Pelodiscus sinensis: one gene and its partners. The protein of the gene in region 1 interacts with the protein of each later gene in a biochemical or structural test. Links are inferred from orthologs where the notes say so. Each region holds a gene or a part of one and is shown on either strand. Other genes may lie near its edges.

Region 1 (9,485 bases):
GGAGACGCGGAGCGGCTTTTCTCAGCAGACACCTCAGCTTGAGAATAAAGGACTGAGGGAAGTGAGGTGTGGGAGAATAAAACTGAACTCTGGAGAAATGTTTGGCTAGGGTTTCCCCTACAATATGTACCAGTTCCGACTTACATACAAATTCAACTTAAGAACAAACCTACAGTCCCTATCTTGTACGTAACCCGGGGACTGCCCGTAGTCTTAGGCCACATTTTTACTATAGGGAAGATCGACCACTATGGCGGTTTATCTTGCGGAATTTGATTTAGCGGGTCTAATAAAGACCCGCTAAATCGAATGCTGAGTGCACCCCCATCAACGCTGGTACTCCTTGATTCATGAGGAGTAAGGGAAGTTGACAGGAGCGTTTGCTTCCATGAACCTCCTCTTTTGGAGACGGTGCTGCAGGTCACATTAAGGGATGGTGACTCCAGCTACACAATTAACAGAGCTGGATTTATGTATCTTTATTCAAACGTCCAGTTAAGTATAGACAAGGCCTTAATTTCTGTGTGCTGTGTGCTTCAGTTACCCATCTGTACAATGGGTGTAATAGCACTGTCCTAACTCCAAGGGGAATTGTGAGAATGAAGACAGACTCTGAGGTGCTCAGACACTGTGGTAATGAAGGTCACATAAGTACCGGACATAGTCTTGGGTTGCGAGCTGGGACTGAGGAGATCTGTGTCTGTTCTTTGCTCTGCCATTCACTGCTTGTGACTTTGGGTAAGTTACCACAACTCTCTCTGCCTCATTTCCCACACTCCACATGAATGCTTTGCCATGTCACTGTTAGGCCTGTGCGTGAGTGTTGGTGAGAGCATCAGGCACTACAGTGATGGGCGCCAGAGAAAATCCTATATATGAATTAAGAGATAAATACAATTAGGTGTTATTAGTGACTCCAAAAAGGCATGGCTGAACCTTGACAGTGACTCTTCTATAGTCACTGCATAGCAAATGCTTCTAAAGTGCAGTCCATTTCACACCCATAAATGAAAAATCTCTGCCTTCCTTCCCTGTAGCCCCAACTAAAGAGCTTTTCATTGGCTCTCGCCAGATACCAGGTTGCTGAATGATAAATTGGCTCTTGGCAAGGATTCCTTATCTTTGTGGCCCAGTGCTGAGGTGTGTGAGTTTCTTTATTGAATTCTGGACTGAACATGGAAGCAGGTTAATCTGCTCTCCACGGGATGTCCTTTGAAGAACAGTTTTTTACCTCTTATCCTTTCCCTGACACTCCCGCTGCTGGCTCTATTTTCCATGTCTCTTGTCTTCATGGGAATTGATTGTAGATAAATGCTCATCAAAAAACCAGGGCATTTTGGCAAATGTAATTATTTACCCATTGACATTTTAATTTGTAATGTTGTGGATGCCTTCGGGAGACAGGGAAGAAGCTGAAAACGGTGGGAAGCTTGTTAACTGGCTCCCCGTTGGGAGGATCTGGAAGCCTGCGGTGCACTGAACTCTTGCTATGTGTTTTGGTTTTATCACATAAATTGCAAAATATCCCCTGATTTCCCTATTGCTCACTTGTCGCTTTATAGGGGATTCCTGGGTAGTACAAAAACAACCAAAGAAAATTCAAGGAGGCAAGATGGCTGATGATGTCCTAGGTGACCTCCTAGTACAAATAATCAGGCCCTCACTGCTGTGGTGTCTGAAGCCATGTCTTCGCTCAATGGAAGATCGATGCTGCCATGATTGATCTTCTGGAGTTCGATTTAGCAGGTCTAGTTAAGACTCCCTAAATCGAACTCAGAGGGCGCCCATGTTGGCATCCAGTTCTGTTGCTTCTGCAAGGAGCAAGGGAAGCCATCTGGAGTGTTTGTTGCCATTGGCCTCCAGCTGTGGGGATGGGCGGGAAACTCAAAACAAGGTACACCGACTCCAGCTACATAATTAACACAGCTGGACTTGCGTGGGACCACTTCATCGTGGTGGGACGACCAGCAGTGGCTCTAGAATTTCTGCATGAGGAAGGACACCTTTCTGGAGCTCTGTGAGTGGCTCGCCCCTGCCCTCAGGCGACAGGACTCCCTCATGAGACCCACCATCCCCTTCAAGAAGTGGGTCACCATCGCCCTGTGTAAGCTCGCTACACCAGACAGCTACTGATACGATGAGAACCAGTTCGGCGTGGGGAGATCATTATGCAGGTATGGCACTCTCTGGCTGTTGTCCCAGGAGGATGATGGAAAGAGGGTGGTGTTGGTGTTGGTGGTGGAAGCTTCCTTCCTGGGAGGTTTTTCAGTCCTGCCTTCATAAAGCCCTGCCAGGGGACGGAGTAAGTAGGGTTGCTAACCTGGATCAGAAGGGGTACTTTTTGATAATCCTGCAGGCTGTCATGGACCACCATAGTCATCCATGGACATCTATATCTGGTGGCTGGGTAAGGCGCACGACATTCATTATTCCAAAATAATGTTTCTGTGTACCCTTACTGTACCAAATGTCACTTATTTATCCACATATCCTTATTTTCAGAGGCTTTCCGAAACCCATCCTTATTCAGACAGCTCTCTGGTGTTGGTCTTTTGCTGGGAGGAGGAGGGAATATTTGAATGAAAGATTAATGGTCCTCTTGTATTTTGGGGTGACCCCTGTGAGTCCCAGATCAAGGCCAAAGGCCCTTCATAGCTCTCCTTTAAGCCCTGTTTCCAGATCAGAAGTGAAGCAAAGTATTCGCTCTGCAGAGGGGTCAGTTTCACCCTGTCTTTGTTATTGTCCATTCATGGTGAACATCACTGCATTTGAACAAGGCAGTGTGGGCACAAGCGGTTCTTATTCTAAATGTGTCTTCTCCTCCTCCCCTAGCACCAAGCAATCCCAGGCATCAGACAGGACCCCACTGTGCTAGGCGCTGCACCAGACACAGAATCAAAAGTCGATGCCCACCCTATATTTTAGCAGGCCCTTCCTGTTGGACTCCCTTGAACAAATTTCTCTCCAATCTTCTTGCTAAAGATTTCTCAGGCTGTCTCCCTTCCAGTAACTGAGCGATAGCCTTGTAAGCAGGGTGAGGACCAGGGGACTGACGTGACACTCAGGGTAAGATTAGGACTTGCCTACAGCCAATGGCACAGTTCAGATGTGGAATGGTTTGATGGGATGAAGGGGTCCGCCTCCAGGAAGCACCAATTTAATTGCAAATGTTTTATTTCTTAGGGATGGGGGGAGGGCGGGGGGACCCTCACGGAATCCTGACATTTGGTGATACTGGGACAGCTAGAGGAAAACTGGCAGGTCTGTGTGGGGTCGGATCACTGGGGGGAGGGAGAGGGGCAATCTTCCCAGTCTCCTCCCCTGTGGGTGAAGTAAACATGCCCCCAACCTTTGCAAATTTGTTACCTCCCCCAAATCTGAGATTCCTGCCCAAAGTTTAACTTCCCTCCCCTCCCCCTTCCTTTCTCCCTCCCACCCCATCGCCTCTCCTTCCCTTTCTCCTCCCTCCCCCGTATCCACGCCCCTGGGCCCGCCCCGCCACAGGGAGGCAGCCAATCCACGCGAGGCTGTGACATCAGTGCCGTGAAATTGACCCGGGGAGAGAGTCTGCTACATTGTAGCAATTCTTTTTCCTCTCTTCGCCTTCCAAGAGCGAAGCGGCCGGGTACAGGGACGCGCCTGGGGAGGGGGTGGGGGGGTTGAGGGGTGGGGGGCCCCCAGCAGCGTCTCCCCTTCAGAGAGCGGGGGGCTGAGCAGCAGTCTCCGCCCGGAGCCTTCCCTGGGACAAGGGGGGATTGTTTTCTCCCCCCGTTTCTAAGCGGCGGGGGATTGAGTTCCCCCCCCCTGCGCCTGTTGAGATCAAACTTCCCTCTGTGGGGGGGGAGGAGGGGACGGACGACAAGGGCAGGAGCCGCTGTGGCTGCCCCGGCTTTGCTGCTATGCTGTCCAACTCTCCTAGCCCCAACCCCCAGGTGCTGTTCCCCACCCCGCCTCCGCCGCCCCCCCCGCCGCCCCACCAGCACCCCCTGCCCCCGCAGCACCCCCCCATCCAGCAGCAGTTCCCCCAGTTCAACGTGAAATCAGGCCTCCAGATCAAGAAAAATGCCATCACGGATGATTACAAGGTCACCACGCAAGTGCTGGGTCTGGGCATCAACGGGAAAGTTTTGGAAATCTTAAACAAGAAGAGCGTGGAGAAATTTGCTCTGAAGGTAAGCTGGCGGCGAGGGGGGGGGGCGGGAGCTGGTGTGCCCCTCCCATCTTTTCCTCTTTTAATTCCACCCTTCTTATGTCCCCCTCCTCCCTCTTGGGCACAGGCTGTTCTTGTAGGAGTGACACAGAAGTGTCACTGTCTTTAGAGAGGCGGGCTTCTGAAGTTACTTGGGGGGGGGGGGCATTTGAGCCATGCTTGCTTGGTGTAAATTATCCCCTCCCTGGAATTGACGGGCAGAAAAGATGGTGCTTTAAATTCTGTCTAGGCAGATACCGCGGAGCGCCCGTGGTAGCCTCTTCCTCTGCTTTGGGTGTGGGCCCAAATCCCCCACCCCCTACGGCGAAGGTCTACCGGGGAAGTTCTGCCTCTGATATTTTTTTTCCGGAGGGGGAGGGGGGGGGTTGTTGGATGATCTAATCCTTTGCCTTTTGAACAAATGAAACTCAGCGTTTCATTCCCTCCCCCACCCTCCGTTTGCAAAACAGGACTTCCCAGCGACAGAGGAGAAACCCCCCAGTTAGGAGCTCCCCGAGGCCTGCAGTGGGATAGGACCCTTCGTCTTGCCTCTCAAAGAGTTGGGCTTTTGTGTGTCTGTTTAGTCGTGGTCTCCTTGGATCCACTGATCAAAGCAGTTGGTGTTCGCAGAGGGAGGGCAGGCCGTGTGCTCTGATTTCTTTTCAGATCAATTAGTTTGGTAAAAAGGCTGGTGGGAAGGGGAGAAGAAAGAGCAAAGAGATCCTCCTCCCTCCAGCACTTATGGCCTTGGGCACTTCAGTGATCACTGGAGGAAAGAGTGTATCTTGTCAGAGAAATAAATTCCGTTGTGGTTCTGAGAACACAAATGCCCCCCTCTTAGGTTGTAATGTCTTTGATTGTCCATTCCCCATTTTCTGTCTTCCCCTCCCATCTTTGCTGTGCTGGTTAGTGGTTTTTCTCTGTAAAGTCTGACTTGACTAGGCTTCCAAAGAAAGAACTTGAAATTTACCAGCTGTGCTTAGTCCCTGACAGGAAAGGAAAGGAACATTTTTTGCTGTTTTGTTATATGTAAATATAACAAAGAGAATCTGTTTTAAAGACAAGTGGTCTCTTGGGATGGAGTCAGAACCAGTAATTCAGTGGTTTATAGGGATGCAGTAGAGGAAAAAAAATGATATTGTGGAGCGTAACAATAAAAATCAAGACTTTAAAAAAATCATGGACTTTTAACAAACATACTTTATCTGTCTCAGCTGAGCGCAATTAAAAACAATGAGGTGGGGATAGTCAGTTTCACTTTCTGACTTTATTGCACTCCATTGCTGTGTAAACTAGTCTCATTAAGAAAGACACAATACAGTTGTGTGGCCTTTTAATTTAAGACAAAGCAAAACAGCATTGGGAAGGGATGACTTAATGACCTGAGCCTCGGGTTTAAACTCTACTGAAACCTCTGGACTTGTTGATTTAATCTAGTAAGTTTACTCTGTTGTGTTTTGTGGATGAGCCCTTTAAAATGCATGCTCCTTTACGTGGACAGTAAACTTCCTGTAGCGCTTTGTGTAAGAATAGATGTTTGTCTGGTTTTCCCTGTTCAGTAACGCCCAGTTGTTCTACCACTGTTCTTCTCCCCAGATGTGGTTACATTTGTGGTTCTAGATCTGTATACAGAAGTCCTTAACATGCATTTGATTAGAAGGTTTATCAATACATAAGGTATTGTACTAAAATATACTATTTTGCATCCAAAAAAATTTGATGGTTGCCCTGTTTTTTAATATATTTTTTTGGAGTGAGGAAGGGTATTTCTCTGTTAGAGGGAACCTGGGGAAAATGTAAATGGATTGTGATGGGTAATGCTAAGTATTAGGAGAGATGGGTACAATTTGTCTCCTCCAGTGTAGCTGAACATTGCATGTCTTAAACACAATTTGTTCCCACACGTTAGCTACTCAAAAGCACTATACGTTATCTTGCTTAATTGTGAAGATTTAAAAAAAAGCCTCCTGTTTTTACTGCATTTTTTCTTTTAAGCCAACATAACACCTTAAAGCCAACAAGTCACTAATCCTAAAAGAATACTGAAGAATTTCATGTAAAAAATCTACTTCTGTGTTACATATCCCCTTCAGAAATGAGGTGTCTGTGTGTGGGGGAGGGGAGATAAATCTTTAAGGCAAATACATTATCATAAGGAAAAGAAGTTCTTCAACTTACTCAACTGAATGGCAGATATTTCACTTTTCCCCCTCTGGAAATAAGGAAGTTTCTCATTAGTTGCACTATTACATTTGAGGAAGACAGTGACTTTTTTTTCTTTAGGTTGTAAATGAGTGGGATCAGACTCTGTTTTGACACTCACTTTTCTCCATTAATTTTCAAGTTGACTCAACCACTTAAATAGCAGTTGCTAACACTTCCCTGAGTGAAATAACAAAAGAAGGAGGAGGAGAGGGGAATGGCATATGGAAAGGCACAGCTTGTGTCAGCAGTCTCCCCATATCAAAATATTGGCTAAGATAAGATCATAGCCTCCTAGCTCTGATGAACTTGTCAGTACCGGAGTGGGATACTATAGACACATTCCGGATCTAAGTTTGATGTATTATTTATACAGTTATCCATAAAGTGATTTTAAAAATAGGGAATTTTTAGATAGCAAGAATTCAGCATAAATCATGGACTTTAGCTTTTTGCTTAGATCTCATCCCCTGCTTGTTTCACCAGCTTTTTACCATATAACAAGGGACATATTACGACCACACACATCTACAGCTGTCCATCTTATCTCCCTGCGCACGAGAGATCTCAGAAGGAATGAGAGAAAAATGGAATCAATTCACAAGGTCTAATATATTCAACTCTTCTTTGAATTTTTTCCTCTGAGAAGTTTTTTAAATGTTTGTTTTCCATTCCCCATGGTCTTATGGAGAGTTAGAGGTTTAGTGGAGCCATTGAACGTGCCAGTGTCAGTTCAAAGGGCAGCGCAGCTGGTGCTATAAGTGACTCCTTCTAGCTCTGTAGAAAATGCTGTGCTGTTAGTTCGGGGTGTTAGCAGACAAACTATACTCTGTTGATATCTAACGGACAAGGGTGTATGACAAGCTGTTTGTTTGTCCGGTGAGTTTTGGATACTTCCTGTCAAGATATAGGTCTAAAAGGTAAAGGTGTAGTGTGGATAGATCAAAATGCTGCTTTTTGTTCTTTGGCGGTGGATCTGTTTATAAACTTGTAGAGTATTGTTCAGAACTTCTGAATGACTCAGAATCATCCAACACAGATCAACACCATTTGTTGGGAAGGAGGCTTTTGTAAAGGGAAATCATGCCAAAGACTCTATTAGAATTATTTGAGGGGGATCAACAAACATATAGACAACAGCATTCCAGCTGATACAGACTACTTGGACTTTCAGAAAACCTTTGGCAAGGTTCCACGTGAAAGGATCTTAAGCTAAGTAGGCTGCCAAGAGGGAAGGGCATATCGTGGATTATTAACTGGTTAAAAGATAGGGAACAAAGGGTAGGAATAAATGGTCAGTTTTCACATTAGAAAGAGGTAAATAACAGGCTCCCCCAGCATCTGTACTAGTACCTGTTCAGTTCAACATATTCGTAGACAGTGGTACTATTTTGGGATACCGGAATAGCTATTCCGATCTTTTGAGTGCACCTGTTATTTCGGAGTAACGGGCGCACTATTCCAATGTCCCTGTAACCTCGTTCCGCGAGGATTAAAGGATGTTTCGGTTAATAACTAGTGCTTTATTTTGAAATTAACTCAAAATAAGCTACACAACTTGCATAGCTCAAATTGCGTAGCATACTGTGAGCTAAGGAAACAGTGTAGATGCACCCAAAGGGATCTCACCAACTGGACGACAAAATAATAGAAGTTTAGTGTTGAAAAGCACAAAGTAATGCCCATTGGGCGATATAATCCCAGCTGTACATACAAAATGATGGGGTCTAAATTAGCTGTTACCACCGAGGAAAGAGATCTTGGAGTCACTGGGGAAACATCTGCTAAACTGCGCAGCGACAAGCAAAAAAGCCAATTATCTGTCAGGAATCATTGGGAAAAAGAGTGATTGATAAGAAGACAGAAAATATCATAATGCCACAATATAAGTCCATGACATGCCCACACTTGAATACTGCATGTAGTTCTGGTCACCCCATTTCAGTAGAGTTGCCAGATGTCCGGCATTGGCCCAGACAGTCTGGTATTTGTGGCTTCTATCTGGTAAAAAAATCACAGAAAATACTGGACACATAAAATGTCCGGTATTTTTTGTTTTTCTTGGCTGGAAGGCCGCTTGGGACATTCTGGGGGGGGGGGGGGGGGGGGGGGAGTGTGTAGGGATTTAAAGGGGCCATGACTCTTTGTTTGGTCTATGTTTTCCCCCCTTCAACCAATTTTTTTCCTGTGGTGTTCGGTATTTTTTGTGAAACTATCTGGCAACCCTACATTTCAAAAACGGTATATTAACAGGCCCAGCCTTAGAGCAAGGTGAGCAAGGCGGTTGCCTTGGGCCCTGTGCCGTCAGTGCCCCATGCTGCCCGGTGCCCGGCTGATCGCTCGCTGCCCTGGCTGGGAGTCATCCAGCCATATGGTGTAGCCAACCACAACGGCCCTGCAAACTTTTTGGCCAGGCCTGTATGTTAAAGATGGAAAATGTACAGAGAAGGACAACAGAAATGATTAGGAGTATGAAAACTCCCATATTTGAAAGATTGGGACAGTACAGCTAAAAAAAAGGGAACACGAAGGGGGGAAACGATAGAGGTGTACACCTCTATCATGACTGGTGCGGAGAAAGCGAACAAGGGAGTGTTATTTACCCCTTTACATAACGCAAGAACCAGGCACCGCCCAATTAAATGAATGGGCAGCAGATTTAAAACAAACATAAGAAAGTATTTGTTCACACATTCCACAGGCAACCTGTGGAGCTTGTCACGAGGGGATCTTGTGAATGTCAAAAGCATGACTGGGTTAAAAAAAGTTACGTTAATGAAAGATGGGCTGGTCAGTGGCTATTAGTCGGGATGGTCTAAGTGTCTCAACCTCTTGACTGCCAGAAGCTGGCAGGGGATGGATCACTCAGTAATTGCTGTAGTCTGTCCATTCCCTCTGAAGTATCTGGCACTGGCCATTTTTGAAAACAGGATACTGGGTTAGATGGACTGTTGATCTGCTCTTATATTCTTATGACTCATTAGTTACATCAGTGTAAAAGGAATAACTCAGATACAAGGAATGATTGCACTTTCTGGTGACCTTCAAAAGCATGCAAGTGGCCCCATAGCAAGAAGCCAAAGGTGAAATTGCT
Region 2 (9,485 bases), on another chromosome or scaffold:
CATGTCAATTTACAGGGGTGGACAGAAAAGAAGGGAGACTTTAGAAGCAAGCTTTTTGTACTATAGTAATTAAAACTAAAATGTGTATTTTAGATAAGGGTGGTCTTTTGAATGGTGTATTTAAAAATTTACATGTCTAATGATCAACGAATGTAAGGCTAAAGATGAATATTCCGATTTCATCCCAAAATATCTATGCAAGGACTTTTTAGAGATGTGACTTTTATAATCATCAGAAATACACTAATGAAATATTTTAAAGCAAATTTTAAACTAAGGTCTTATAGACTAACATGGTCTGAGTAAATATTACAATACAGGGCATCCCCACTATGTCACCCTAGTATACATCCGTTCCACACTGAAGTCGTTGACGATTGAAGGAACTGATGCGCTATAAGTCCTCTCATTCCCTGCTACAAGTCATGCGAAACACTTTCCTCCAATTTGCTTAAATGGAAGTCAGCCACGGGGAAAAAAATTCCCCGCTTTGTTTCACTATAAATCCAAGTTTTTTGGAACGTATCTTGGACTTGTAATGCACAACTGCCTGTTAAATGGTTCCACTGCCATTTGAACGGCTCTTCAACAATATAAATGTTCTGCTCATAAGTCCGGTAAGCTGAAAGGTTTTTCACTTTTAAATTTGAAGATTCCCCAGGCAGCAGCCAGATGTGGAAGCCTGCAAGAAGGATCAACCCTAGACAGTGGACACTAAGACCCAGGGAAAGCCATGTCTTCCCTTGACTCTTATACCCACCACCCGTGACAGGGAGGGAGGGACTTCCCCACTTGCTCGTTTGTTTGTTTCCAAAAGCGGTAATGTTGACCATGCACCTTGCTGCAAGAAAGGGGAACCCGGAGCCGAATTCGCTGCTTCCGGAAACCACCTGCTTCATGGGCGCTGGAAACAGTCCTTGGCTAGCAAACTGAGGGCCGAAAGGTGGATTCAACATAGGGACATGGGTGTTGGAGACCTGGGGAAAATTCCCACCTTCTCCTAGTCCCCACGGTGCTCTGGCTGTTCTCTGCCCCCCCAGGGCCCATAGGGCACAGATCTGGGCCGTGCCTGGAGCGCCCTGTGCTGTGGCTGTTCTCTGCCCCCCAGGGCCCATAGGGCGCAGATCAGGGCCATGGCTGGAGCGCCCTGCGCTGTGGCTGTTCTCTGCCCCCCAGGGCCCATAGGGCGCAGATCAGGGCCATGGCTGGAGCGCCCTGCGCTGTGGCTGTTCTCTGCCCCCCAGGACCCATAGGGCACAGATCAGGGCCATTGCTGAAGCGCCCTGCGCTGTGGCTGTTCTCCGCCCCCCAGGGCCCATAGGGGGCAGATCAGGGCCATGGCTGGAGCGCCCTGCGCTGTGGCTGTTCTCTGCCCCCCAGGGCCCATAGGGGGCAGATTAGGGCCATGGCTGGAGCGCCCTGTGATGTGGCTGTTCTCCGCCTCCCAGGGCCCATAGGGGGCAGATCAGGGCCATGGCTGGAGCGCCCTGCGCTGTGGCTGTTCTCCGCCCCCCAGGGCCCATAGGGGGCAGATCAGGGCCATGGCTGGAGCACCCTGCACTGTGGCTGTTCTCTGCCCCCCAGGGCCCATAGGGGGCAGATCAGGGCCATGGCTGGAGCACCCTGCACTGTGGCTGTTCTCCGCCCCCCAGGGCCCATAGGGCGCAGATCTGGGCCATGGCTGGAGCGCCCTGCGCTGTGGCTGTTCTCTGCCCCCCAGGGCCCATAGGGGGCAGATCCGGGCCATGCCTGGAGCACTCTGCGCTGTGGCTGTTCTCTGCCCTCCAGGACCCATAGGGCACAGATCAGGGCCATGCCTGGAGCGCCCTGCGCTGTGGCTGTTCTCCGCCCCCCGGGGCCCATAGGGTGCAGATCGGGGCCATGCCTGGAGCACCCTGCGCTGGGGCTGTTCTCTGCCCCCCAGGGCCCATAGGGCGCAGATCGGGGCCATGCCTGGAGCGCCCTGCGCTGTGGCTGTTCTCTGCCCCCCAGGGCCCATAGGGTGCAGATCAGGGCCATGGCTGGAGCACCCTGCGCTGTGGCTGTTCTCTGCCCCCGAGGGCCCATAGGGCGCAGATCGGGGCCATGCCTGGAGCGCCCTGCGCTGTGGCTGTTCTCCGCCCCCCAGGGCCCATAGGGCGCAGATCAGGGCCATGGCTGGAGCGCCCTGCGCTGTGGCTGTTCTCTGCCCCCCAGGACCCATAGGGCACAGATCAGGGCCATGGCTGGAGCGCCCTGCGCTGTGGCTGTTCTCCGCCCCCCAGGGCCCATAGGGGGGCAGATCAGGGCCATGGCTGGAGCACCCTGCACTGTGGCTGTTCTCCGCCCCCCAGGGCCCATAGGGCGCAGATCGGGGCCATGCCTGGAGCGCCCTGCGCTGTGGCTGTTCTCTGCCCCCCAGGGCCCATAGGGCGCAGATCGGGGCCATGCCTGGAGCGCCCTGCACTGTGGCTGTTCTCTGCCCCCCAGGGCCCATAGGGCGCAGATCAGGGCCATGGCTGGAGCGCCCTGCGCTGTGGCTGTTCTCTGCCCCCCAGGGCCCATAGGGCGCAGATCGGGGCCATGCCTGGAGCGCCCTGCGCTGTGGCTGTTCTCTGCCCCCCAGGGCCCATGGCAGAGAGTTGTGCCACAGGACAGGGAGCGTCGCCAGCCCATTCTGGCTGGCCGGGGACAGGACTCGCCGCTCCCATTGTGCAGGGCCCGGACACGCATTAGAGCAGCCCAGAGGCCTCGCTGCCGTGTGCGCCAGCGGCTGGGCGCGCGGTGCCCCGCTGCCTGGGCTGGGCGGCAGGGCTGCAGGAGCGAGTCCGCCCGCTCCCGGGCGCTCGCCCTGCGGCCCCCCGGCCCTGGAGCCTGCAGGAGGGGGTGGCGGCCTGGGCCGCGGACAGAGCGGCCTCTGCTGGGAGGAATGGAAACTGCGGAAAAGTTTGTTTCCCGGCCTCAGAACCCCCCCAAAGTTGGTGCCCCCGCAGAAAAGACGCAGCCCCCTTCAGCCGGGGGGGGGGGGATTCCCAGCAGGGCCGACCCCCGTTCCCAGGGTGAGCGGGTAGCAGCTTGTTGGGGGGGAGCAGAGACAAAGCCCCCAGTATCAGGACGGTGGCCTCCCAGGCCCGTTCCTAGCCCCCCCCCCCCCAGCAGTTCACTCCCTTCCCCCCCCCAGCAATTCACTCCACCCCCCCCTTTCCCCCCCCCCGGCTTCGCCCGCCCCCGAGCGCCCGGGTTGGTCTTTTCCCACGCCGGGCGCGGGGCCCCGGGCCCCCGGAGGGCGGGTTTCTCGCTTCCCATTGTAACGAGATGAAGTCATGGGAGGCGGGTCCGCGGCCGCCTTATATAAGGCCCTGCAGCCCGCCCGCCTGCCACAAAGCTCGGCTGAGCCCTGGGGGGTATTCGCGGACTCCCACCCGGGGAAGGAAGGCAAGAAGGAGCCGCCGCCCGCCCGTCGTCCCGCCGCCTCTTCAGCATCGCGATGAGCTCGATCATGGATGTAAAAGCCTTGTACGAGGTAAGCGGCTGCGGACCGGGCGGGACTTGGCAGCGCTGCGCTGCCCCCAATTGCTCGCGGGCTGGGCGACCCGATTGCCCAAAATCGGGGGGGGGGCTAGGAAGCAGCCCCCTCCTCTAAAAGAAACTCCTTTCCCCCCTTATCCCTCCCCTGGGAAAAGGCCCAGGCAGCTGCCAAACCGGCTCTACTCCGGAGCTGCCAATTCGGCGCGATTTGCGTCTCCACGGGCGAGTTTTCGCGCGGGCGGGAGGCGAGGGACTCTGATCCGGAGCAGCGCCCGGCCCGCCCGCTGGCGCGGTCCCTTGTTTCTAATGCCAGCTCCTCCCGAAGTGACGCCGCTTGGCTGGCGGCTGGCTCGGGGACCGAAGGACCCTCGCGAGCCACCCCCGGGGCGGAATCAGAACTTGTCCCGTCCCCCCCCCCCCCCGATGTTTGTGCGACTCACCCGCCGCTTCCCCACTACTCCGCTTTCGGTAAACGAAGCGTAGTGAAGCGGGGTGTGGCCGTGTGAACTCCATGCCCGTCCCCAGCTCCTCGCGCCGGGAGCGACCCCTGCGCCTTGCTGGGGTGGGGCTCCAGGGAAGGTGCCCCTCGCCCCTGTTGGGGGGGGGCCGAGACTTTCCCAGCGGCTAGGGAGGGGTTACAGTGACCTAGAATGGTGTTCCTCCCCGCCCCCATGGCAGACGGAGGGGCTGGGGAGGGGCGCGGGGGGGGGGGGGGATTTGGCAACTACGGGAAGCAGTGGAAAGTGAGGGAGGGGTGCATCTAGCAGGCTGTGCGTGGGGGCGGTGTTTGAACAGGGCTCCTCTCTGGATCAGTGGTGCGCCCCCCCCCTTGGAGTGGGGGGGGGCAGTGGGGAAGCCGTGGGGGGAGTGGAAAGAGTCAGGGAGAGAGGGCGGTTTCCCCGGGATGGTGCATACACAGAGGCTGGGAGTCTGCCTCCACCAGTTCTGTATTTCTCCCCCCCCGCGGACTTCTTGGGGCACCTCACTCTCTGCTCCCAGTGCCCCAGCACTCCTGGGGGCTGGCCCCTTATACTAGGCTGGCAGAAGGCCCCTTGCTTGGGGCGGGGGGGGGGGGGCCTGCCAGTATAAAAGGCCTAGTTGTGGCCAGGCCTGGATGCTTATAAATAACCCTGGCACGGTGCCATTCAGGGGCTGAGTCACCACAGAGCTTGGCCTCCTGGGAGGGGGCCTGGCACTGAGCAGAGCCAGGTGCTCAGTTCGATGTAGGCCACAGGGCCGTGCCCAGGGGCCTCTCACCCAGCCCCATGGGTGTCTGTGTCCTGTGGGGGGGGGGGTGGAGGGCATGGCAGAGCCGTGTGTCCCTAGCCTCCAGGATTGGGGTATCTGAGCTGGGCATTAATGCCCCCTTTTTCCTCTCCTTCTGCCCCACAGAACCTCCGCAACCTGAATCTGGGTGAGGAGCGGGATGAGTCCTTTCAGCGCCGCCATTCTGCCAGCTCGGAGCACCTGGGGGGCAGCGACACCCACATCTGGCCCCTGCGCACCCTCTGGAGCCCCAGCACCGAGCAATTGCTCTCCCTGCCTGAGCCAGCAGCCCCGCGCCCGCCCTTCCGCACCGACCGCTCCCTCAGCATGATCGAGGGCAAAGCCCTCCCACCCCCGCCCCCCGGCTTCCCCCCACTGCAGCCCCCGCCGGCCCCCGCCCTCTCGTCCCGCTACAAGACGGAGTTGTGCCGGACCTTCAGCGAGACGGGCCGCTGCCGCTACGGGGCCAAGTGCCAGTTTGCCCATGGGGCTGCGGAGCTGCGGAGCCTGAGCCGCCACCCCAAGTACAAGACCGAGCTGTGTCACAAATTCTACCTCAACGGCGAGTGCCCCTACGGCTCCCGCTGCCACTTTGTCCACTACCCGGAAGAGCGAGGGCTGTCCGCCTCCCCGCAGATTCTGCGACAGAGTCTGAGCTATACCGGGGTGCCCACAGCCCGCCAGGGCTCCCCGCCGCCCAGCATCCCCGACCCGGCCTCTTTCACCCGGGCTCCGTCCATCTCCCCGCCTCCCGCCAGCGAGCTCCTTGCATCCTCGCTCACCCATCTCAGCTCGGAGCCCGTGTTTCGCATGGCCACTCTGGGAGAAACCGTGGCCACCTCCCACTCTGGAGGGTGCTGCACCTGCCGCTGTGGGGGCAGCACCAGGCAGAGCATCTTCGAGAGTTCCCGGGACTATTTTTCTGCCGCCCCGGGGACGCTGATTGCCTCCAGCCTCCCCAGGACCCCCTCGTCCAACTCGCTCTCCGACCAGGATTGCTACAGCAGCTCGGGTAGCCTGAGTGGCTCCGAATCGCCTGTCTTCGAGCTGCTGCCCACTGCTGGGACCCGGAATAGTGCCCACCGTCTGCCCATCTTCAACCGCATCTCCGTGTCGGAGTGAGTGGCCCTGCTGCCCAGCAGGGGAGGGCGGAATCGGATAAAGGCCCAGGAGGGGGGGGCAGGACAAGAGACTGGGGGCGTTATTAGATGCATTGATGGGGCAAGTTTGCGATCTGCTCCTGGGTGACCCTCTGGGCTTGCCTCCAAGACACCTTCTGGACAACCCAACCCCTCTGGCTGCTGGCCCAGATATTAGGGGAGTGGGTGCCCATTGGGCACAACTGTCCAGCCACATGTTGGCATGAGCTACTCCTGTCTGCAGGTGGTGGAAGGGGGTTGGGGTGGCCTCCCCCAGTGTGGGACATGAGCTCCCCACAGTGGGGGTAGGACAAGCACCCAGATGCCTGCCAGGCAAGGCTAGCTCCCTGCCTGGCTGGCTGTAGCCATGCTTAAAGGAACTTGTCTCTGCTGCCGAGCATTAGCACTGATGGCTCTGCTTGTGCCTGGGGAGGGGCCCTAAATGCCCTGGCCACGTGCCCCTTCCGTCTACAGACCGTCATCCTGCCTGCCTTCCTCCCACTGATTGTCCTACAAGTGCCAGCTGATGCTGCCGAAGTGCCTTCCCCAAAATCCGTCGGGAGTGCTCACCTGCTGCTCCCCATGCCTCCCCCACTTCAGTCTTTCCTCTGGACTTGCCTTCAGTACGGAGGGTGAAGGGGAGCCCCTCGGGGCCAGTGTGCATCCTCAAACAGACTGACTCTGGGGCAAGCGGAGTGGGGGGTGCCCTTGTATGTGCTGTATGTAGCAGATTTGGGGGAGGACTGCCTCAGCAAATGGGGTTTCTGGGGGGGAACATTTGGCTCTCATGGTGCTGCTTTGCTCCCCCACCTTTATGGGGAGCCCTGATTTCATGCTGTGAATATTTCAGAAAGGGCTCCCTGATCTGGTGATTGTTTTCTTGGCTCAGATCCATCCTCTTTTTTAATCCCCTTTCGGGAGGAGCTGAGCAGGGTGAGCGGTGGGGGTAGTGTCCCAGCCCAACAGCCAAAGCATCCTCCAGTATCTTTGAAATAATGGAGTAAACGGATAGAGCTGTAGCCTTGTGCAGTGGGAAGCCTGGATGCTAAGTAGCCACATATACAACCTAGCTTCTGCATCACAAAGATACTCCAGTAACAGCCCACCCCGACTGTAACGTTTAACAAGCAAGGGGCGTTGTATGTGTTACTGGAGAACTTCCCCCAGGCTGGGACAGAGTAACCCTGGCTTCCGGACCCCTCCGATTGACTGGTGGTGCAGATCCCTTTGGGAATCTTACGCAGTCTGCCGTCATCCTGGGGCCTGTGAAAACTGCTGGACTTGGCTTGTATGAAACAGCTCTTTAAGTTGGGGGAGGGGAATGCACTAGTCCCCAAGACAGCCGACCGAGTTAGTGCAGTACGTAAGGCTGTGGCATATGTGGAGTATTTATTTTAGCGAGGGGGTGATAGCTCTGTTGCAAAAGGGGGGAAGGGGAATTACTTAGAGCAGGAAAGGTCTGAGGCCTTAAAGGGATAACAATCGGACCACCAGCCCGGAAGTGGGGAGTAAGGCAGCACTGAGAGCTGGCAGTTTGCAATCTAGGTGTGGCTCTCCCCCAGTATCCACGCGGGTCGGGAGGGCGGGGCTTCTGTGCCACTTCCCCATGTGAAGCTCACTCAGACTCGCCTGGCTGTATGGGCGGGTCGGGTCGGTCTCTAAAGTCACAGTGTGCTGGTCTGCCTGTGCCAGGGACCGACTCCGCGGCGGTGGGGGGAGGGGATGCCGAGTTTGCGTTGCCTACCTCTTGCACAAAGTGAGCCTGCAGAGTGCTCCCCTCTTGCTTGCCGGCATGTGGTCAAACTCCGGACCCCTCCCCAAAGTCTTAAAGAGGCTGCAGCTCTTTAGAACCACCTTCAGGGTTCCCCTTTGCCTCCGTTTCCCCCCCCCCCCCCCCCCAATCCCCCAGGCTAAAAACATACTTTTTCTTAAAGGCAAGCTATGGGTCTGGTCACATGACACCTGCAGCTTGGGCTTTTGGGACCTGCACTAAATATTTCAGCAACATTGGTATGCTGCTGGGATCTCCTGGCTGCCCTCTTGGCCCTTTCTTTCCAGCTCAGGCCCGGTGGAGATTTTTCATGTTCCGCTTGCGTGCTAACAATTCCCTGCTTTTTAACTCTGTTGCTGTTGAAAGCAAAACCAAACAAGCTGTTTACTGTGGTGGCGATGAGAGAACAGAAACCAAAATTATTTATACAAATCTTATTTATTCGACAGAATTTTATATTGTATTTATCTTTTTTGTAATATGCTGAAATAATATATATTTTCCATGTTATTAAAATTAATTAAAAAAGAAACCCAGCCTGATGTAACCAAGAAGCACGATGTTTATCAGTGACAAATGCTTTTTTTTTTTTTAATCATCATTGTGGTGTTTTTATTGCTGAATCTTGAGGATTTAAAAGAAAGATGGTAGAAAGTGTGTGTGTGTGTGTGTGTGTGTGTGTGTGTGTGTGTGTGTGTGTGTGTGTGTGTGTGTGTGTGTGTGTGTGTGTGTGTGTGTGTGTGTGTGTGTGTGTGTCACACCAGACCCTGATGTTCTTTGCAACTCCTACTGTGAGTTCCCAGACACAGAGGCTGAAATTCTATTATGGCACATCCTCATGTCTTCATGGGCCTCCTGTCCTTTTTTTCTGTCTCCTCCCCCTCCCCCCCACCTCAAAGCTGGTGGGATTTTAAGAACTTGGGGGGAGGGTAGGGGGAAGTCTCCGTAGGCCTAACTTACATTGAGCATGGAACTGTGCAGAGGCTGAGTGGGAGATGGTCTCTGCCCCCCAAAGAGCATACTGTCCAAACTGCCAGAGGGGAACAGAAGCATGGCTCCATAACATTAAGTGCCCAGATTCCTTTGAGGAACTGTGGTTGGTACCAACTCCTTTAGGATGCAAGGCTAGGGGTGAACATTTCATAACTAAGCTTTGGGAGAAGGTATTTTTCTATAGGTGCAGGGGGGACTCGTGACCACCTGTGTCTGAAGCAGCCAGAGCTGGTAAGTTACCTGCCCTGTAGCCCCATTGTTTTGCTCCAGTCTGGCAAACTGAGGGAGTTAATCTTCCCAGCTGCCTGTGGGGGCAAGGAAAGTACAGCTCCTATTTTACAGGTGGCAGTAGTGGGATTGAACTGCACCACCAGACTGTCTAGCATGCCTGGCTTGGGGAAGGGCATCTCTGCATTCCTGTCCGCTTGGACTGCTGTCATGGTTTGACCTGCTGTGAGAGCTTCAGTGTAGCTGCCTGAGGTCCTAGAGCAGTGGTCCCCAATCTTTTGGGGCTGGCAGGAGCCTGGGGCTGGCGCTGCCCATACGCCACGCGCCCGGGGCAAGGGTCATGCCCGTGCTGCGCGCTTGTGGGGGGCTCAGATCATGTGGCGGGTGCACATAAATGCCCTGCCGGGCGCCATGGCACCCACAGGCACCACAGTGGGGGCCACTGCCCTACAGCACTGAAGGTGCTGAGTAATTAACGCAGGGCCTGGACAGGTTTTCCCTCAAGCCATCGGGTTGCTGCTCTGGGCTGCCTAGGGTAAAGCTAGAACAGGTACTGCCTGCTGCAATCCTGCTCCCCCCTC
Region 3 (9,485 bases), on another chromosome or scaffold:
AAGCTACAATTCCGATAGTAAGTACGTGTATATTGCAGTCATTTAATATAACGCACAAAATATGCGCAATAATGCTAAATATAATCGATGTACACTGAGATGAGTTGATTGTTATGGGGCATATAATAGAGAGTCCAATCCTGCATTTCTTGTGCACACAAACTCACATTCAAACCCGCATGAGTTCAGTGTGCATGGAATTCAGGATAGCGCCCACTCTGGCACACCTTCCACTCTTATCCCGAGTCCTTTGAGTAATCAGTATTGCTCTGTACACAGTACAGGCAATCAGATTCACTTATAAAGCCAGGCTCCAGGCAAAGTGGTCATGAAATAGTTATCTGTGTTGGCTTCCTCATTTGGACTTGGTAACCCTTGGAAAGTCCCTGGAATGACGTTTCCAACCTAACAATTAAAAAGGATTTAATTATAGAGAGGCTCAGAGCTCTGGGAACAAGCACCATCCACAGAGCCAGTAAACAACTGCAGAAAATAACATGCTCAAGCTGCTCTCTCTGCTGGTTGCTTCTCACTTCTGGCAAAAAACAAAACAAAAATGAATGAAGAAAGAGAAGGAAAATTAGAGGAACTAGTGTTCTAGCCTCAAATAAAGAATTAAAAAAAAAAAAAAGAAATCTGGAAAGGCCAGACTCTATGGGTGTTTGCTCTCACTTCGTTATTTTGGCTGCTCTTGGATATTGAAGGAGGGGGGGAAAGATCAGCAGCCAGGAAGACAAGCTTAAAGCCCAGTTCCTGAGACTGAAGCAAACAGAAGAGGAAATAGGAACAGGGATCATTTGTTTTACGTTTTAAAAGTGCTCTCTCTGAGGTGGGCTCGCACTCTGGACTCTGCAGTTAGGGTTTCAGTTCTCTGTGGAAGTCTGGGGCTACGTGAGGAAGCAGAATATTCAATACCATAGTGAGATGCATTTTAAGGAGGGGTTCATAGTCCAAATCTCATTCTGGATGGATTAACAAGGGACCAAATCCTACAGTCCTTCCTCTGACAACATTCTCACTCCCACTAACTGTAGGGCCAGTGTTGCCTGAAGAAGCACTGAAAGTTTTGACCCAACAAAAGTTTCACATTTAAGGAGCCCCACATTAGAAGCCTTGAAACGTAAGCTTCTTATAAAGAAACCGCTCCCCCCTTCCTTCCATCAATATCAGTATACATAATTCTTTGTGTACTAAAATCTGGAATCGATTATTTGCTAAGAAACTTTACTCCTCTCCCCAGCTTTATGATTTAAAATTGCTAAAAAGTGCCCTTTGGGGACTGGGTAAAGAATGGAGGGCAAAGGGAGAAATTAGCAAACACCACTTTCAGGACTAAACACATATTTTAATGATTTAAATTAATATGGATGTGAGTTATTTCCTTTCCAGAGCCTGCCAGGTTTCAATAAAAATTGGAAAAAAGTGGTAAGAGTAAGAGGGTGGGGGATGTGAATCAACTTGAAGACAGTCAGCCTGCAAAAATGCAAAGGCAGCAGCAATGTTAAAAATGGATTCAATCAATTTAAATCAAAGTAGACAAATCCAAGCCAGCCCAAACTGGAAACAACGCTTTCTACTTGTGAATACAATGCCCAGTTCAGCTGTAGCCCTTAGAGCTTAAACCATTAAAGTCTAAACAGTTTGTGAGTGTTCTGGGGTTTTATTTTACATGGATTAAATAAGTTTTTGTTAAAATTTGTTCAGGGAGAGGAAAAGAATCATACTCTTATTTTGCCCTTCTAAAGAAACGTGCTTATAATTAGGTGACCTAATTATATTGCAATGGAAAATACACTTAACACACACATTGTTTCATAACAGATCGAGGAGTTAAAAATGTTGTGGAATAAACATCTGAGGTCCGGAATGGGTGAAACTTACTGTAAAAAGGACGAGGAGGCGACAAAGGACAAATGGAAATATATAGGAAAGAAAACAACAGTTTAATATTTCCACTTCAGTCTAGTATTCCATTTCAGAGCTTCAGAGGGGAAACTGATCAGCTTTTGCAAACCTGTTGCTTGCCTGATGCAAACAGCAGATAAAGAAGTTTATGGGTTGTTTTTTTAAGTCGGTCTGTCATGGTTCAATCAATGGGTCCCGCTTTTGTCTCTCACTCCCCCAAAAGAAAAAAAAAGGAGTGAAATCAAACCTGGATGGACTGAAAAACCATGTATTACATTCAAAGAGGCGAAGGGACAGGAGCACAAAATGCAACGGGCACTCACGAAGAAAGCGCAGCCCGCGCAAACACAAAATTCAAGGGAACTGAAAGGGCCTTGTTTTTTGTCCGTGCTGTGGCTTGCTCTCTGATCGCCTTCTCAGAGATCAACGTAAATAGATGTCTGCCAATGTGTTCAGTCAGAAGGAAAGCTAAGCCGCTGAAAACTAGGTCCCTGCTTACTGGGGTTAAAAGACTAGTTCTCATGGGGGAGGGGGGCCAACCCATAAGCATGCAACTGGTGTCCAGCAGGGAGCAGAGAGATTCGATCGGAAAAAGCAAACGTTCCTCCCTGTTTCACAGACCCGAGCGCAGGCTGCCCTCCTCGTCAGTTTCACAGTAATTACAGCTGGGAGACAGGCAGATGAGTCTCGGAAAAGATCAAGTTTTGTTTTGTTCTTCTGCTCGCCCGGCCCGACCACAAAGTACGCAGCTGCTCGCGCACGCACCCTGCCCGCTCTCCGGCGGGCTGCGAGCTGCAAGGGAAGCGGGGGAGCTGGTGGGGGGGGGAGGGGGCGCTGCACAGACTCAGCTCCAGGCCTCGTGCCGTTTGCAAAAGCTCAGTGCAAGCCGAGCGAGGGGGGGGGGGGGCGGATTCGCATGACGTCACCGCCCATTGCATAATTCCAGCACTCACAAAGCAGCGCGCGCCCTCCCCCCCCCCCGCCTTCTAATCACAACCAAGTTGCACATGCACGCGGGGGGAGGCGGGGCACTCTGCAAAACTTTCCTCCTCGCACCCGAGCGCGGCACTGAACGGGCTCGGGCTTTGCCCCCCCCCCCCCTCTTCCTCTCGAAAGTTTTCTCGGGCCTGGGGTGAGTCAGTGCGGATGTCAATCATCGCCCTCCTCCGCCCCCTCGGCCGCCTGTCAATGGGCCGCGAGCTCCGCCCCGGCCGGCCTGGCCGCTCGCAAACTTTATAAATCGAGTTTAGGCGGCGCGGCGGGGGAAAGCGAGCTGGGGCCGGAGCCAGGCGCGGCGGCGGCGGCGGCGGAGCAGGGGGGGAAGGAGCCGGAGCGGGGCTGGAGGCTGTGCCTTACTCACCGCGCCGCGATCCCTTGCGCCGGCTGCTGCTGCTGCGCTGCCACCCTCCTGCTCCCCCTCCCCCCGCGATCGCCCAGCATGTCCACGGCTCTGGTGTCTCCCACCATCTTCGACCTGAGCGAAGTGCTGTGCAAGGTACATGGGCTCGTGCGCGGGAGGGGCTGCCCGGCCCCGCTGCCCCAGACCTGCCCCTCCAGCGTGGGCGACGGGGGCTGGGGTTGCGCTGCGAGTTGCGCTGGGGCGACACTTTGCTCGCCAGCCCTTCTGGCGCTCGCCGCGGGCAGGGCGCGTGGCCTCGGCGCTCGTACGGCCCTCGCTGCTTGAAATGAGTCTGGTCCCCACCCCGCCCCGCCGGGCTGATCGTGGCTGGGTTGTTCCCCCGCTCTCTTGCTAGCAGGGGCTAAGCCAGTCCCGGCGGACTTGCGCAAGGGCGTGACCGCCTCCTCGGGCTGGCTGGCTTTTGGAAACCGGCTTCTGCCGCTCTGCGAAAGCTGTGCAGAGGTACTCGGTCGTGTGGCCAAACTGCTGCGTTCCCTTCCCCACCGTCTCCTTCGCCCTCCTCCCAAAAACCTCCAGGCCGTTGCCTTTGATGTGTGTTGAATAGTTTCAAGCCTCCACTGCCAGGAACCCGAGTAGCTGTGTTCAACTGGTGAAGCACGTTTCTCGTCTCCCTGGGCTTTGGAACTGAGACTTTTAAACGCACTAGAAACGCAGATTTTCCTCTTTCGCGTGCTTATGCGTGTGTCAAGGCAACCCCTGGCTTTGGAGAGCTGTGTTACGGGGGGGAGTTGATAGAAGGAACTCTGGGAAGCTTTTTCTTGAGGTTTTTGCGCGGCCACTTTTAATGGCTTAAGTTTTAGGCTGCTGCTGTAACGTGCCTGCTTCTTGTTTGCTATGATTTTTTTCCCAAGCTAGCTCTGCTTCTACAGTTGCACATTTACTTTAGGGCAAAAGGATCTGGGTGAGGCGGTTACTGTAATAACCTTTGCAGGCTAGTGTGCTGCACTCTTGCAGTTTTACTTTTCTTTCTTTCCTCCTCTTCAGATCAGCTTTGTCCCCCGTGCTCCTCTGCAGCCCCATGGATTTATCCTTTGTGTAGCGAAATTCTTTCTAAACATTTCTTAGTTTATAAGAGCTGATTTAAAGAGGGAGAAAAGTACTTTTTCCTCCTACTCCTGAGATTTTTTCCCCATGGTTTGAAATGATCGGCATAGAATGTTTACAAATAGAAATTCTTGTCTGACTCAGTTTTTGTATGTTTACTTAAGAGTTGACAATGAAGCTTTACTATTAAAACAGGGGTAGGAGTTGTCATTCAATATGTGAGAGCAAGGGCTATGCCTCCCCTTTTTAAAAATAACTGTTAAATCTGCTTTTCACACAGTAAGTGCGACTGTAGCAAACCCCTATAATTTCTCTCCCCAAAAGAGGAGTTTTAATATTTAAAACTTGAGTCTGCAGCTGAAGTAACTGGTTCCTGATCCCTGCCAGACTTTCCTTGCAGCCCAAAGGCTAATTGCAAAGGAATCCTCTTGTGGTTAAGAGTGAAGACTGGCCTGGATCAGATGAAATGCCATTGCTGTGCTGGAGGACCAAGAAATGAGATTAATTTAAATCAGTAATTAGTACACTTTCAAAAAAGTCTTATGCATTTACCAATTTGTGTCTCATACATAGGGTTGTCCAAGATAATGTTTCTGCACTCTTCTGTAGTGCAGAAAAATCTACAATTCTAAAAGCTTTCTACAATAACCTCCAAACTTAGAGAGGTCTATGGACAGGGAGGAGTAACTTGAAAAAGAGATGACAAGAAATACTGGTTCTTGGGCCTGAAAGGGGTCCTGAACCTGGTGGAGATGTGGTTGTGGGTTTGGCTGTGAAGTGGAGTGGGCAGTTACTTCGCCCTAGGGGAGGATTGTATACATTTTGTAGAAGAATAGTGGGTTTGGCTCTTGCAGACACAGCACTAGGTATGGGTAGGTGGGGCACCCAAGTTCTTGCCTAAGGCTGGGAAGGTTATATGTATTGCAGGGTCATTGTGGGTAGGTGGGGCACCTGTGGTCCTTACATGGCACCCACTGCCCCAGGCAACAGGCTGATTAGCTGTTCTAGGAAGTGGGCTATTTGAAGCAGGGCTATTTTGCAGAGAGAGTGGGGCTAGCTTTGAGATCCGAATGGATGTGGTCAGTTTAACTGGGATTGAGCTGCAGGGGAGAGCTGGAGCAGACTGGGTGACTGTTTCTTGCTTTCTCTTCACAGAGTAACAAGATGTTGAACTACAGCCCTTCAGGTGTTGGAGGGTGTCTGTTGGATAGGAAGGCAGTGGGCACCCCAGCTGGCGGGGGTTTCCCCAGGAGGCACTCGGTCACCTTGCCCAACTCCAAGTTTCACCAGAACCAGCTCCTAAGCAGCCTCAAGGGGGAGCCGGCCCCTGTGCTGGGTCCTAGGGAAAGCCGTTTTCGGGACCGCTCCTTCTCCGAAGGTGGCGAGCGCCTGCTTCAGCAGAAGCAGCCCGGGGGACAAATCAACTCGAGCCGCTACAAGACAGAGCTGTGCCGCCCCTTCGAGGAGAACGGTGCCTGCAAATATGGTGACAAGTGCCAGTTTGCCCACGGCATCCATGAGCTGCGGAGCCTAACCCGCCATCCTAAGTACAAGACAGAGCTGTGTCGCACTTTCCACACCATTGGCTTCTGCCCTTATGGGCCCCGCTGTCACTTCATCCACAATGCCGAGGAGCGCCGTGCTGTGGCCGGGGGCCGGGACCCCACCATTGCTGACAGACCCCGCCTCCAACACAGTTTCAGCTTTGCTGGCTTCCCCAGCGCTGCTGCCAGTGGGCTGCTGGACAGCCCCACCTCAGTCACCCCACCACCCATCCTGAGTGCTGATGACCTTCTGGGCTCTCCCACCTTGCCAGATTGTACCAACAACCCCTTCACCTTCTCCAGCCAGGAGCTGGCCAATCTCTTTGCCCCTAGCTTAGGGGTGCAGGTGTCCAGTGGTGGTTCACCCACTGCTTTCCTCTTCAGGCCTATGTCTGAGTCCCCCAATATGTTTGACTCGCCCCCAAGTCCTCAGGACTCCCTCTCTGATCAGGAAGGCTATCTGAGCAGCTCCAGCAGCAGCCACAGTGGCTCAGATTCACCCATCCTGGATAATTCAAGACGTCTTCCCATCTTCAGCAGACTCTCCATCTCTGATGACTAAACTGGGTTTTCCTTTTGCCCTCTTCCCACCTCTATTACAATGCTAAGCTGAAATACCCCCATCCCCCTTAATGCCCCCCAATTATCAGGGTTAGGTGTTAACATAAAGGTTGTCCACTTGCCTGTAGCTGACTCACTGGCTTAAACCTTAAGTGCCAAATTACAATAAAAAGCAATAACCGTTTACAAAATTAGTGCCTTTGAACATTTTCACTGTGACTGTATTACCTCTCTGGCTGCAGAGGGCACCAGCAGCCTCCTTTAAAGCTCTGTGCACTTCCAGATGTGCGGGAAATATCCAGAACCAAGTGCTCCCTCCACTGGCCACAATAATGCATTGTTTCTACTTCCCTACCTTCCCATTGGCCAGTCTCTGCTAGACCTATGGCATGTGGACAGCTGTTAACATCCAATCCTTTTCCCCTTTAAAGACTAATCTTGCCTGGATCTGCTCAGGTCTGCAGGAAGAAAAGCTGAGAATGGACAAAGATTGTAACATGAGTGGGACTTGTGATTGGGGGGGAAAAAGCCAGATGGACTATGAAAGACTTGATTTTGGTGCTAAAAGTTCCCCATGTATATGTGTGACATCTTTACAAACAAATAAAAATAGAGGGGGTGGGCTAATGGAATTCATTCCACACACGCAAGTTCCGTGTATTCCAAGTTCCAGTAGACATAGCTTTAATGGTTTTGCTCTAGAGTACATTAGATCTATCTTAGAGCACTCACGCCAAGCTTTTTATTATTTTTTCTGGGTTTTTAATTTTGTATAACTTTTCAGAAATTGGAGAGCAAATTTTGCTTGTCACTGCACAACAATATAAAAAAGCTTATTTAACTTATCAAAACGTATTTATTGCCGAAACCTATGCTTTTTGTTAATTTTGTTCATATTTATCGGGATGATGAATCCATAGAATATATTCTTTTATGTTTAAATTATGATCTTCCATATTAATCTTAAGATTGTGAAGTGTCTTTTCCTTTCCCCCCCCCCCACAGTTTAATATATTATACTACAATGACATTTTTGTAACGTTACACTTTGGTTATTTTATTTTAAAAAAATGAAAAATTAATTTAAAAAAATGCAAAAAGTGTGTTTGGATTATTTATTTTAGAATGTCCCCCTTTTTTGTGTTGGACTGCAAATTGAGTTAATGTACTTCTTTGCCTTTCCTCTTCCTCCTTCTCCTCCCCCCCCAAGGTCATACACACCTGGGCTTTAGAATGTATGTGTATAAGTTCTGTTGTAAGACAGTATGGAAAGAAGACATTTTACTTCCTCTTTTTTGATAGCTTCTTAAGAGAGACAAAAGCCTTTGGCTTAAAGTGCCTATTTGAAGACATTCCAAATGCAGTTTGTCTTTGCCTTTTTTGTATTCCAAGTTTGGAGTTTTCCTTGTTTAGGTGAACGGGACTGGCACAAAGAAAACAATGAATGTAATTTTTCCCCTGTTACTGTTCACTACATTGCTTTTTTTCCTCTGTAAGTTTATTTAAAAAAAACTCTTTTGTAACGACTGTTTGCAGTTTAAATCAATAAACCCCAAGTTTTTCAAGAAACTGACAGTGAAATTGTTTTTTCTTGCAAAAATGAGATGCTGTTTTTAAAGATATTCTGCATTTGAGTGACTGCTTCCTCCCAACCCATAGTCTGCACAGAGAACTTTGATACTCTACCTCTGTTCAGAGATGAGAATACGCTGCTCCATATAAACAAGCAAACCGGTGCGTGGTTTCTGCTAAGACTACACATGCAGTGGCTTATTCAACCAGGTTTGCTTGATTTTTGTCAAGTTTACATTGGGATCTTCCTCTTGTCTTAACTTTCAGAGTCACTCAGGCTTTTCCCACAAATTTTCTCTTCTGATATTTGTATCTGAATCTCCTGGACTGGCTTTCACTCCTGCCAGGGATAGACCTTTCTTGCACTAGCAGAGTATGAGCGGTGTTTTCAACTAGGCTCTCGTGTGCTTAACTTTCTGATTAAATTATTCTAATTACTTAGAGATTTCAGGGTTTGTACATTTGTAACTTCTAGCTTCTCTTTTAGAGGAACTATGTGTTTAACAAAGGGAAAGAACACCAACTAATAGCAGTTGAATATACTCATGAATATACCACCCCGCAACATAGACAAACCCTCACCTACTCCTTCAAAGGCAAAATTTTGCAGGCGCTTCCAGGGACTGCTGAAAGCATGTCATCTTGGGATACTTGCCTCTGTAGTGATGCTCACAGTGTAACTCTTGAACTCAATCTTGCTTATGGCTCCTGTGCCCATCTGAAAATCTTTTGGCATCTTTCCAAATTGTTGTGAGTGGGGAAACGTGAATCCCACAACCATCAACACTCTGTCTTGTCCCACCTTAAAACCGTTCAGAAGATAACCTTGCCAGACTTACTGTAGGAGAAAGTTTCCTCCAACAGAAAACCTGCAGAACATACTAGATTGGATGCTTAACTTTCACTTTTGATATTAGAGGCCCTTTGGACTTAGTATTCATTTCTACAGTGCAGTTTGTCAAACAGGGCTAATTGAGTAGATCAATGTGGAATGGGAGGTGGCTGCTCAGAGAGGTTACATTGGATCATATAAAAGCCATGTGGAATTTTATCCAGCAGAACTTCACATAACTCAAAGCAGTACATGCTGCCATTCCCCCACCAGGGAGGAGTTCCAGGCCCAACCACTTTGTTACTAATGTTTGACAAAAGTCCTTCAAAAGGCTTGAAAGATTGCAGCAATCTTCTGTCTATATTTGCACATTCTCAGTTACTCAAAACTACTCAGGCTTGAAAGAATATGGTTTTGTGCATAAGGTGCTTTGCAGATAGTTGCTTATGTCTCCTGAATGTTAAATGGCGTTTTGGTTAAAAAAAAATGCTTTGAGGGATAAAAGATTCTTTGGCATATTCCAGAGTGTGAGCATGGAGCTGAAAACTGCTCACCATTCCATAGTCCATCAGTTAACAGGGCAAAGCACATATGTTTGAAGGAAGTG

The links.
Region 2: of the proteins of MAPKAPK2 (region 1) and ZFP36, one has a biochemical effect on the other in vitro, tested with the Homo sapiens proteins (2 studies listed by BioGRID). The link is inferred for Pelodiscus sinensis from reciprocal best matches to the Homo sapiens genes MAPKAPK2 and ZFP36.
Region 3: of the proteins of MAPKAPK2 (region 1) and ZFP36L1, one has a biochemical effect on the other in vitro, tested with the Homo sapiens proteins (2 studies listed by BioGRID). The link is inferred for Pelodiscus sinensis from reciprocal best matches to the Homo sapiens genes MAPKAPK2 and ZFP36L1.

Annotation. Positions count from the first base shown.
Region 1 is NC_134737.1:5,841,941-5,851,425, reverse strand, and holds the start of MAPKAPK2 (MAP kinase-activated protein kinase 2), read left to right. Parts: upstream 1-3,602; 5' UTR 3,603-3,899; coding exon 3,900-4,172; intron 4,173-9,485. UniProt on the Homo sapiens protein: Stress-activated serine/threonine-protein kinase involved in cytokine production, endocytosis, reorganization of the cytoskeleton, cell migration, cell cycle control, chromatin remodeling, DNA damage response and transcriptional regulation.
Region 2 is NW_027465849.1:4,200,895-4,210,379, forward strand, and holds ZFP36 (mRNA decay activator protein ZFP36), read left to right. Parts: upstream 1-3,342; 5' UTR 3,343-3,466; coding exon 3,467-3,502; intron 3,503-4,899; coding exon 4,900-5,895; 3' UTR 5,896-8,237; downstream 8,238-9,485. UniProt on the Homo sapiens protein: Zinc-finger RNA-binding protein that destabilizes several cytoplasmic AU-rich element (ARE)-containing mRNA transcripts by promoting their poly(A) tail removal or deadenylation, and hence provide a mechanism for attenuating protein synthesis.
Region 3 is NC_134714.1:71,500,564-71,510,048, forward strand, and holds ZFP36L1 (mRNA decay activator protein ZFP36L1), read left to right. Parts: upstream 1-3,149; 5' UTR 3,150-3,343; coding exon 3,344-3,400; intron 3,401-5,524; coding exon 5,525-6,475; 3' UTR 6,476-8,043; downstream 8,044-9,485. UniProt on the Homo sapiens protein: Zinc-finger RNA-binding protein that destabilizes several cytoplasmic AU-rich element (ARE)-containing mRNA transcripts by promoting their poly(A) tail removal or deadenylation, and hence provide a mechanism for attenuating protein synthesis.